3 linked regions of the Cricetulus griseus genome follow. The protein of the gene in region 2 interacts with the protein of the main gene of each other region in a biochemical or structural test. Links are inferred from orthologs where the notes say so. Each region holds a gene or a part of one and is shown on either strand. Other genes may lie near its edges.

The links. The genes of interacting proteins can lie anywhere in the genome.
Region 1: the proteins of Stat1 (region 2) and Mcm5 form a complex in vitro, tested with the Homo sapiens proteins (2 studies listed by BioGRID). The link is inferred for Cricetulus griseus from reciprocal best matches to the Homo sapiens genes STAT1 and MCM5.
Region 3: of the proteins of Stat1 (region 2) and Prkcd, one has a biochemical effect on the other in vitro, tested with the Homo sapiens proteins (2 studies listed by BioGRID). The link is inferred for Cricetulus griseus from reciprocal best matches to the Homo sapiens genes STAT1 and PRKCD.

What each region holds. Positions count from the first base shown.
Region 1 is NC_048596.1:150,892,365-150,895,574, reverse strand, and holds the end of Mcm5 (DNA replication licensing factor MCM5), read right to left. Parts: coding exon 3,199-3,210; intron 2,645-3,198; coding exon of another isoform or gene 2,613-2,644; exon of another isoform or gene 2,295-2,612; intron 1,965-2,294; coding exon 1,837-1,964; intron 990-1,836; coding exon 888-989; 3' UTR 502-887; downstream 1-501. UniProt on the Homo sapiens protein: Acts as a component of the MCM2-7 complex (MCM complex) which is the replicative helicase essential for 'once per cell cycle' DNA replication initiation and elongation in eukaryotic cells.
Region 2 is NC_048595.1:403,728,021-403,732,028, reverse strand, and holds the start of Stat1 (signal transducer and activator of transcription 1-alpha/beta), read left to right. Parts: upstream 1-1,200; 5' UTR 1,201-1,361; intron 1,362-1,625; 5' UTR 1,626-1,742; intron 1,743-4,008. UniProt on the Homo sapiens protein: Signal transducer and transcription activator that mediates cellular responses to interferons (IFNs), cytokine KITLG/SCF and other cytokines and other growth factors.
Region 3 is NW_023276807.1:189,126,257-189,129,774, reverse strand, and holds part of Prkcd (protein kinase C delta type), read right to left. Parts: intron 2,756-3,518; coding exon 2,655-2,755; intron 1,404-2,654; coding exon 1,229-1,403; intron 1,003-1,228; coding exon 902-1,002; intron 797-901; coding exon 623-796; intron 414-622; coding exon 322-413; intron 1-321.

The DNA.
Region 1 (3,210 bases), on a different chromosome or scaffold from region 2:
GTCTCGAAAAACAAAAAACAGATACTTTATTTTATTCACTTTTCCTTAATTTCATGAATTCTAGATTTCTAAAAGCATAACAAAACTCTTTGTGGTATTTTGATAATAAAAGTGCTGGAGAGCATCTTCCTTTAACAATTCTTTCCTAGTACTTTCTACCATGCTGGACTTAGGTTAGGTCCTCTCAGCTCTATTACTGATAAGGCCTGAAGTCTGGTTCCTTTCCCAGGAATAGATACACAGTATGGAGGTCCCAGAAACTCACCTAGCCCACTTTGATGTAAATAAAACCTCAAATGTCACTGGAGGCTTTCTACACTGCAGCCTACTTGGATTTTCACTGACAACCACTGAACTCACTGAGCTCAAGTACAACCCTATGAGGCAATGTCAAACTTGTTTGCACATTAGGAAACTGAGGCACAGATAGACAAACTTAGTGAATAATCCAGTTCTCCCATCAGGTGCTGCTGTAGAAAGCTGAGTGAGTCAACCCCACACTTTACACAGAACCACTGTCACACTGGCTCCACTGCTCTTAGCAGCCAGGGACTTACTTTATTTCCTCTCGTCACATGAAGAAGCTCGGCAGCCTGGCAGCCCAGGAGCCAGTATACAGACCTGTCTACCTACAGAGCCTGTTCCTGCTTGCAAAGGAGGCAGGACAGAGACTAGGCACCTACACCAAAACTCTCAGGCATCCAAACACAGTATATGAGGCCAAGAGACCAAAGCACATTTCCAGGGGCTACAGATGCACAGCAGGCAGCAGTCAGAGGGGAGAGTAAGGCAATACATCCTCCTTCTGATGGAGGTATGCACAAGTGCAAGAACATGGAGGTGGAGCAGTGGCCGCATTCAGGTTTGAGGGTTGACAGGCAGTGGGCTCACTTGAGGCGGTAGAGCACCTTGCGCTGCATGCGGTGTTGGACCTCTCCCCTGCGCAGCATGAGCTGCAGCACCTTTCGGATGGCATGCTCTGGATACTTCTGTAGGAGGGAGCAGAAGACACATACAGAGATTATCAAGACCCAAGGGAGCCCATGAACCCCCTTGCTCATAGACAACTTTACATCAGACAAAAAGCTTCCACCTTCATTCTCCCTTGACTTCATATCATTAGGGCTTATACTTTGTAATGCCTGTGTACCAGGAAAGTATAGTCTTATGTCAACTTTTTTGCAACCAGTATTAGGAATTATTTCACAAAGAAACAGGCAGAGGGTGTCACTTGTTTGAGGTCATATAGCAATTAAGTGAGCTAACACCGAAGTCCCTGTGACCCTAAAAACCTAACTTTCTCCAGCCCCAGCCTCAGTAAATGCTAATCTTCTTTCTCACCTATAGAGCAGGGCAAGTACCAGCTAATGTGTAAACTATTCCAGAAGCAAACTGAGAGGATACACGGGAAAGGAAGCCAAGAACAGAAACCAGGCCTATCTTCCTGATTTTAAAGGGCACAGGTTCCTCCTGGCATCCAATAGCAGCATCTCCTCTGCATGGGATCAATAGCCCTCTGCCCAATGGGTTACAGGGCTCATTCATCTGGTTCTTGGCTCCCTACCCTGTAATGAGCCAAGCAATAAGGGAAAGACTAAGAAATGGGGAAATTAGGTGGTAGTTTCTCCAAACCTGGCTTCTAAAATTTTCCCACTTCACGGTATATATAAACAGCCAACCCCAACTGTAGCATTTCCTAGGGAAAGAATAGTGGCTCAAACATCCCCCCTCCCCAGTACTCCACTATTGAACATAGAACACAGATCAAGGGAACCAGGATACCTTCTGTGTATCCTGGGTGTGGTTTACAGGTTCCCAATGTTTAGGAAAGCTCACCTGCTTGGTGAAGTCCTGAACAATGCTGTGTTCAGACACCTGGGAGCCAATGGCAAAGCGGCGCTTGAGTTGCTTCTCGATACGGCTCAGCATCTCTTGGTCCTCCTGGGTAGTGAAGCCCTCCGCCCCTGTGAGTGCAACAGGGAACTGAGTGCTAGAAACCCCAATTTATCCATACTGGGAGGGCCAGAGAAACGGCAGCCTCTAAGTAGAATGGCCTAAACCAGGCCCCAGAAAGGAAATTAAAGACAGAAAACTGCATCAGGTGATAATGGGGCCTCAACAGGGAAGTGAGAACCAAGAAATATGGGGAAGGGTGTTCTAGGCAGAGGGGAATTGCAACATAGGACATCCAACAGGCCAGGTGGCAGAGACAAAGCCACCATAACTGAGATCCAGGTACCATGAGGCCCTGTGGGCCACACACACGGAGGCAACAGGAATAGCCACAGAAAGGCTCTGATGGAAGAAGAGTTTTATTTAGTTGGGTTTATTTATTTTTGAGGGAAGGTCTCAAACCTCAAAAGACACCTTCCTGCCTCTGTAGCACCATGCCCAGTGGAAGTACAAGTTATGAGGTACAGAGCAAGAAGGGAGGGAAGGCAGAGCCTGCTAGGATCCAAATCTGGGAGGAGGCACCATTCATGAGAAGTCTTGGGTAAGAGAGAAGCTTACAATCTTCACCAGATGGGAGAGCATCATTTCTTTTCCAACATACCTGGCCCAGCTGGCACCAATCGCCACCACCACCCCTTTCACTACCTATACCTACCTCCTCACCGTGTCCCACCAAGAAAGGGAAGAAAACCTATGAAATGGATAGGACAGGGATGTTGAGAACTGCTTGCTTACAGCTCTAGCACCTAGATAGTGACTGGCAATACTAAGCGAGAATCCCTGCCAGACTAGGGTGGAACTAACTTGGAAGAGGCTGGCAGAAGACTGGCTGAAAGCAGGCAGCAGACATTAGGGCTCAGGGACCAACAGGCCTATGTTCCACTAAGAGTGGTGACCAAGGCACCACAGAAACTCTATGTCAGTCTCATCTCCACAATGGGAAGGATGGACAACCTGGTATCCCAGATGTGGCTGTGAAGAAAAATGAGACCATGGGCTGGGAAACTACAATTCTGAGCTCAACACAGAAGGGAAAGACAGTCATTCTTCACCGGTGACAGGCCTACAAGTACTTTTAATGAACAGCCTCAAGAAGTCTAGGGAGAAGCTCCTATAATAGTGAAAATAGCCAAAGGAGAAGTGGGGACAGACTATTATCAAAAGCATATCTAGGCAGCACCCTGCAGGCCACCAGCTAACTAAATCTCTACCTAGGGTCAAGACTACAGCCTAGTACCTACTCACCTGACAGATTGC
Region 2 (4,008 bases):
ATTTTTTTTTTAAGAGTGGAATGACATGGTCAGCTTTGCAATTAGATAAAAATCACTCTAATGACGAGGCGGAGAATGAATTAAGTGAGAGCAAAGAGCTGAGGCAAGGCAGTCTTTTGGGAAACTACTGCAGTAATCCAGGCAAGAGGATAGGTGTGGTGCAAGAGGTAGAGAGAAGTCAAAAATGAGACTTAGGAAACAGGAGTGAGACCCAGTGAGGCTTAAGGACCAAGCGTTGGGGACCGGGGAGAAGGCACATAGCTTCTGTAACTGGTCATACATCATTTCCAAAGTAAGAACAGGTATGAGGAGCGAGCTGGTGGCTTTTGTTTTGAATATAATGGGCTTATAGAGTCAGAAGTGTCCAAGGACAGGGAACTGTGAGCGTGGAGGAAATCCAAGGAAGGGTTGGTATACATCTAGGAGTGATCCAGGACATGGAAGCTACAGAGGAGGCCATCAAAGGTACAATGGGAGAAGGGCAGGTAAGGTCCTGACTTTCGCACTTAGTGGTTTGGTAAAGGAGATGGGGGCCATAGAGAAGTCCAGAGAGGCAGGAAAGGGCAAGAGGTTCTGAGTCATGACGACTAAGGGGGAAAATCTTCAACAACAGAGGTGTCAGCTGGGTTAAAGCTTTGGTTTTTGTTTGTCTGTTTGTTTTACTTCTTAATTAGATTTATTCATTTTATTTCATGTGTTTTACTTGCATGTTATGTACGTGCACCGTCTGCATGCTTGGTGTCTGTAGATATCAGGGGCACCAGATCTGGCACCTCCATGTGGACACTGGGGATCCAATCTCCCTCCCCTGCAAGAACAAGTTCTCTTAACTGCTGAGTTAAAGTTAAGTCCTTGTGTTGAAGATTTTTAAACAGCAAGTTAAGCGGACGTCTTCTGGCTTTAGTAACACAAAGGTTAATCCTAGTCCCCAACTTTGCGTTCTCGGCGATGCGGCTAGTTAATGCAGGGTCTCGAGACTGAGCCTCTGTAAGCACACAGCTTCCCTCTCGTTGTTCTCCAAACTTGTAAACAGAACCTCCAGACTGCGGTTTGCACGGCTCAGAGGAGTCCCAGGTTCTCAGCCGGGGTGGGGAGCTGGGACAGGAAGGGCGAGCAACAACCACGCAGCGCGGGGGGAGGCGGCGCGCCCGCGGAACAGCCGGCTAAATCTCGCCTCTGATTGGCTGGTGCGGAAAGAGGCGGGACGCCCTCCGGCCTTTTCTCCCGCCCGGTGCTTTCGTTTTTCTGCTCTCAGTCTGTTGAGGCGCCTGGGCTACCACGGCGACCGCGCCCCTCAGACCCTCTTGGGACACAGCTGAGAGGCACAGGAACATCTGCCCAGACTCGGGCACCCGCGTGCAGTAAGTGAGCGCCGGGTGCGGGAGCGGGCGGGAGTGGGGTGCCCCTCCCTAGGCCTGGAGTCCACTGCCTTCAGATGACCTGTCACCCCGCGGAGAGAACGTGAACAGGACCACCGCCTAGCCCTTACCCCGTCCATTCGCACTGCTGGGGTAACTGTGCAATAGAAATCTCTCCCCAGAAGACTCTGCAACTTCCCCCTTAACCCTTGTTCGCCTTACCTCATAGCCACTTTCCACCAATGTAACGATTTCTTCTTTCCACAGTTGCATCCGTACTGTCCCAACCCCAGAGCCGCTGCCACCCTGTGTGTGCAACAGGCACCAAACTTGCTGTGTGTGGTGGTTGCTTGTGTTGAATCCCCAGCCTACACTCGCAGTCCAGTAAGTGTTCTTGGAAACCAATGCATTTGGAACCTCAGTATGCAGCAGCCGCCCTTAGCCAGTTATTTAATTACTGCAGACCCATTAATGGCATACTTATTTAAAAATAATTCCTGGGCACCACCAAAGAGCCCTGGGGTAGGTGTACAGGTGGGCGAAAGTTGTTTTTATCTGGCAGAAGTGACTTGAGCCCTAGCTGCTCAGTGAGGATGCTGGCCTCAAACTTGTAGGATCATCATAGGGTTTGCCTTTTGTTTTCCATTGCCTACTGAAACATACAAAGTTCAGTTGAACATACTGTTCCGTACACAGTAACACTTATGATTTAGGCCACATACCAGTCGCTGTTCGGGGACCAGAGGATGAAAATAGCAAAACTATCCCCTCTGAGGCTCTATGCTTACAATGCTGTGGGAGACAGCCGTATGTTTCACAGGGAAGACTGGAGCTGATGCTGTAATAGCCGAGCAGAATGCAGCAAGGCTGGCGCCAAAAGAAGCTAGATGTAAGCGTGACAGCCAGCTTTAGAAAGAAGGGCCACTTACTTAGAACTTTGATTGTTGGCAGCAGGGTACTCCAGTCAGCAAGGCACAGGCTAGATTGGGAGGGTAGCATGTTTGTAGGAGGCATGGAGACAATTGGTCCTAAGACTTCAGTGGAAGGAGTCACCCCCAAACTCAGTTTGAGCTAGTTGATTTAGGGTATTGCCAGTCCCAGCTGGATTTGTTAAGGTAAATCTGTTGATGCACGGGTTTGTATTTGGTGCTATGTATGCTTAGCACACACAGTCCCTGCAAGCACCTGTGCAGAGTAGTAAGTTGTCTGAGCACTTGGCTAATAAGAGGTTACACAGGCCCCGGGGCCTGAAAGTCCATCACATCTGCTTCAGGCATGCCTCTACTGGGGGAGAGGGCACTGATTTGAATGTCAACACAAGTAAATAAACCAGATGTAAAAAATCAAATTGCTACACAGACATGCCTCAATGATGGCCTGGGGTCCTTTTTAATGGTATTTGAAATGGTAGCTGACTTCATAGTCCAGACATTTCCTTGCTGTCCTTTGGAGGGACATTTGTTTAACAGACATGACTATTCCTGCGCATGAGTGTTTGAAAACAGGTATCTATCCTGCACCTCCATACCCCACCTGACAACACAGACCTTTCTCCAGAGGTCTGACAGAACTAGATTCGCTTCACCACTCTGAATGTGGCAATGCTGGTGGGCACTGGTGTATGTCCTGTTACATGATGGTCATGCAAAATTTGTTCTTAAGACTTTCCTCAATTAGGGATTGCCGTAATTTTTAACCTCTAGGGTTGCAATGTAAAAAATGACTTCTTAATTATCTTCTTTATTCTTTCAAATGGCATTTAGCAATGCTGTTTGAATATTTCTCTTTTTCTGATACAGTGTTTCACTGTGTAACCTTGTAGGCTAGGCTTGCACTCATTGTGCTGCTCAGACTGACCTTGCACTCATGGCCTTCTTGGCTCAGCTTTCCCAAGTGCTGTGATTTCAGGTCACCCAGGTCTGGCTGTTGTTTCCATCTGTGGAGATGGTTCCACTGCTCATAGCTCCTGCTGTGCATACAGATCACCAATACCCACATTAAAACAAACAAAGAAAAAAAGAAACCAGGTGTAATGACATGTGACTGTGACTTCAGTACTAGAGAGCACATGGCTTGCTGGTGAGAATGTCTAACCAAAATGGGTAGAGTTCCTATCTCAAAAAAGTAGAGAAAGGATGGAGGCTGATATCCTGATGTTATCTACATGTGCCTGCCATATTCAAAAGAAAGTTTATTTCTTTTAAAATTTGTTTAACAAAAATACTTTACCATATGAATCATAAATACGAAATATCAACTTAAGTCAGAGAGATGGTTCGGTGGGTAAAGCTCTTGCTGCCAAGCCAGAGGACTTGAGCCGTGTTCCCAGGACCTGCGTGGTGGAAGGAGAACCAACTCCTGCAGGCTGACCTCTGACCTCCACCCACATGATGTGGCACAAAACAGGCAATAAACAAAGTGTAATAATCCTAAAATACTGGCTTTAAAATGTACTGTAGTTTGTAGAAGAAGTTTTAGAAAGTGCTTTTGTGATATCTTAATTCTATTAATGTTTTCTACTTGATTGGCAAAAAGTAGAAATTCATTTTTAAATATTTATTGGCTACCCAGTTTGTACCAGACATTGTTCCCTCTCCTTTTCTTCAGATGAAAAAAAAAAAAAGAATGAAGTAAAAAGAAAAAAAGTGCT
Region 3 (3,518 bases), on a different chromosome or scaffold from region 2:
ACAAATACATGCCACTTGTTGAGGGGTATACAAACACTTGAAGGTATCAGTGCTGTAGTCCCGGGGCCACCCACCAGGGTCCATGGAGTACAGAGCACTGTCTATTCTGCTGTTCTGGCTAGGCCCAAAGAGAAGACAGGACCTAGGGTACCTGTGCTGGCCCCATAGCCAGAGCTTGCTTCCCAGTGTCCCAAGTCTCCCCAGTGCCAGCTCTGTCCTGACTCAAGCTTTTCCAGCGGGGGGTGGGGGAAGAAGGATATAGGGCAGACTGGCAGTACACTCAAGCCAAAGTCCCTCTCCTCACACAGGGCCCTCACATACGTAGCCCGGTAGAGTTCGAAGCGGCCTTTGTCCTGAATGTGGTACATCAGGTCACCTCCATTGAGGAACTCCATCACAAAGAACAGGTGGTCCTGGGGGTAGGAGAGAAGGGATAAGCAGAGATAAAAGTGACAAGAAGGAGGTACCCTTGCAAAAGATCACAGAGCCCCAACAGGATGTAGAGAGCATAGAATCTGGGCTGAGGTTGACAGCTTAGGAGGTATGACTGTAACAGACACAGCTCCACTGTGGGGGAATGATGGGGTCGGGGCACAGGCAATGGCAGGGAAAGGCCAAAAACCTTGGTCTGGAAGGTACAGAAGAGGTGGGTGAGAAAGGGATTCTCCCAGGCGAGTGCCAGCACCCGCTTCTCCACCATGGTGCACTCCACATCATCGTCGATCAACACCACGTCCTTCTTCAGGCACTTGACCGCAAAGAACTGGTCTTTGCCCTTTAGCTCCGCAAGCAGTACCTAGCGATGGGCAGGATGCTGAGCAAAGGCCCTGGAGGTTACCAGCACCCAGCTTCTGGTGTGTAACAGGAAACACCTGAACACTGGCCCTCAGGCTGCTCTCACCTTGCCAAAGCTGCCCTTGCCTAGCACTTTGTGGAAGACGAAGCGATCAATGCTGCACCGGGTGCTACCCTCCCAGATCTTGCCATAGGTCCCGTTGTTGTCTGTTAGAGAGATAAAGAGACTAAGGTCTCGGGGCTACATGACTCCCTTCCCAGGGGGCAGGAGTGGGCTAGGCAAGGGTCTCAAGAGTAGAGAGAAGGGGCTCACTTCCCATGGGTAGGACCTCTTCCCAGAACTTACTAGACAGAAAGACTTACTGGAGTCCCAAGGGTGGGCTGGGGAAGGGGTCGGAGAGAAAGGGGCTCAGTACCTCATCCCAGGACTCACGCAGCAAGGAAGACCGGCCCCTTTGTTTGCCCTTTTGGGGAATGGGAGCTTTAAAGGGGATATGTGACCCAGCTTCACCTGGGGCGTCATCCCCAGAAATTGTCATCTTCTTCTCGAATCCCTGGTATATTCCAAAACTCTCTGGCAATCCCGAGTCCAGCTTCCGTGAAGATCTCTAGGGAAAGGGCATAAGAAGGAAGCCAAATGGTAAGACCACTTTCAGAACTCCTAGGCCACAATATCCCCCTCAATTCCACTGGTGTCAGAAGGGTGGAGCCCAGGACTCCCAGGCCATATTCCTCCCTTCTTCTGGTCTTGTGATCTGAAAGGCACAGAAATTTAGTGAACTGAATCATAACTTCCTAAGCATTTTTTTTTTTTTTTTTTGGTTTTTCGAGACAGGGTTTCTCTGTGTAGCTTTGGAGCCTGTCCTGGCACTCACTCCGGAGACCAGGCTGGCCTCTAATTCACAGAGATCCGCCTACCTCTGCCTCCCGAGTGCTAGGATTAAAGGTGTGCACCACCAACGCCCGACCTTCCTAAGCATTTAATAAATGTTTAATTTTGTCAAAAATTGTTTACATTTCCTTGTGTATATGTGTATGTAGACATGCATATGCATGTGCACACATGCAGATGTCACAGGACAACCTATGGGATGTTTCTCAATGATTCTGCATGTTTTACGGAAGGAACTCAGGCTATCAGGCTGTGTGGAAAGCACCATTACCCACTGAAACATCTTGCCAGCCACTAACTTCATTTCTGGCCCTAGAGTTTTACTCTAAAGTTTTGTATTATCCCTTAAGTTCCAGTCACATCTAAATACACACACACCATAAGAACCCCATTCTTATCCACCCACCACACATTGCATTCACACACTGTATACACGTACACATATCATATATATTATGCATGTACAGCACAGAGGACATGTATACACAACACACACTCCACATGCCACCCACTCCTACATATAACATACCAAATACACAATGCACACCATGTAAACAAACCATATATACTATGCACATACCACATATTCTATATATACCACCCAACCACAGATAACACATTCTGGACACACACACTACATACCAAATAAATACCACATACGCAACACCCACACTACACATATCAGATACACCACACATACCACACAATACACCATACATTACGCGTATAACATAGACCTCGTCCTTGTTCAAAATGTCCCAACACTCAACTCTGCAGTTGCCATCTCACCTCAGGTAAAGAACTGGCTGGATGATGAACTTCCCAAGATAACAAGGCCACCTCTCTGCCACCTTAATTCATCAATGAATTAAGGCCTTACCCACCTTAGGGCCCCCCAGGCATTCTGTGAGCCCCGAAACCCTCTGCTTGCACTGCCCTATGTCCAGATCCCACTGCCCCTGCCTACCTGGCTCACTTGGTTCAAGGCCTCAGCCAAGAGCTTCTGGTTGATGCCACATAGGTTGGCCACCTTCTCTCGGCACTTGTGGTGCACATTCATGCCACAGTCTGCAAGAGGCAGAAGCAGGGCCACCACTGTTAGGTCTCATAAACGAGCAGGAAGGGAGGGGGACAGGGAAGGAGAGGGAGGCGGGGAGATAGGAGGACCTTTCAGACCTTTCAGACCTTTCAGGGGTGAGGGCATCTGAAGCAATCATAAGCATTTTGTATACTTCATGGTTTAAATAAAGAAGAAAACATCTGGATGCAGTAACGGATACCCATAATACCAGCAACTGGGAAGCTGAGGCAACAGGACTGCTCTGCATTTGAGGCCAGCCTCAGCTACACTGATCCAGGTCAGCCTGGGCTACAGTGTGAGTCTGAGGTCAAAGATAGAAAGAGAGGAGAGACCAGGGAAAGAGGAAGAGGGAGGCAAGGAGGGAAAAAGGAGAAAGAGGGAAAAAAGAGGAAGGGTGGGAGGAAGAGAAAGAGAGAGAAGAAAGGGAGGGGGAAGGGCAGGGAGGAAGGGGGAAAGGAGACAGAGAGGGAAAGGAAGGGGGACAAGGAGGGAGAGGGAGAGAGAATGGTAGCTAGTTATAACCCCTTCAACATCTGGGCCAAGTGACATGGGCAGCTTTCCTCGAGGCCTTGAGACGGTCCTGAAGGGAAGCCTGGGACAGGGAAGCCTGGAGCAGGGCCTACTAGTGTGTGGCAAGCCTTGGCTAAGCACTTCCAGTCACATGCTCCACAGTAGTCCCCAGCAGCACACTTGAGGATACAGCTCGGAGGCATGGAGACTTGTGGTCTCATAACGGTCAGGAAGGCCAGT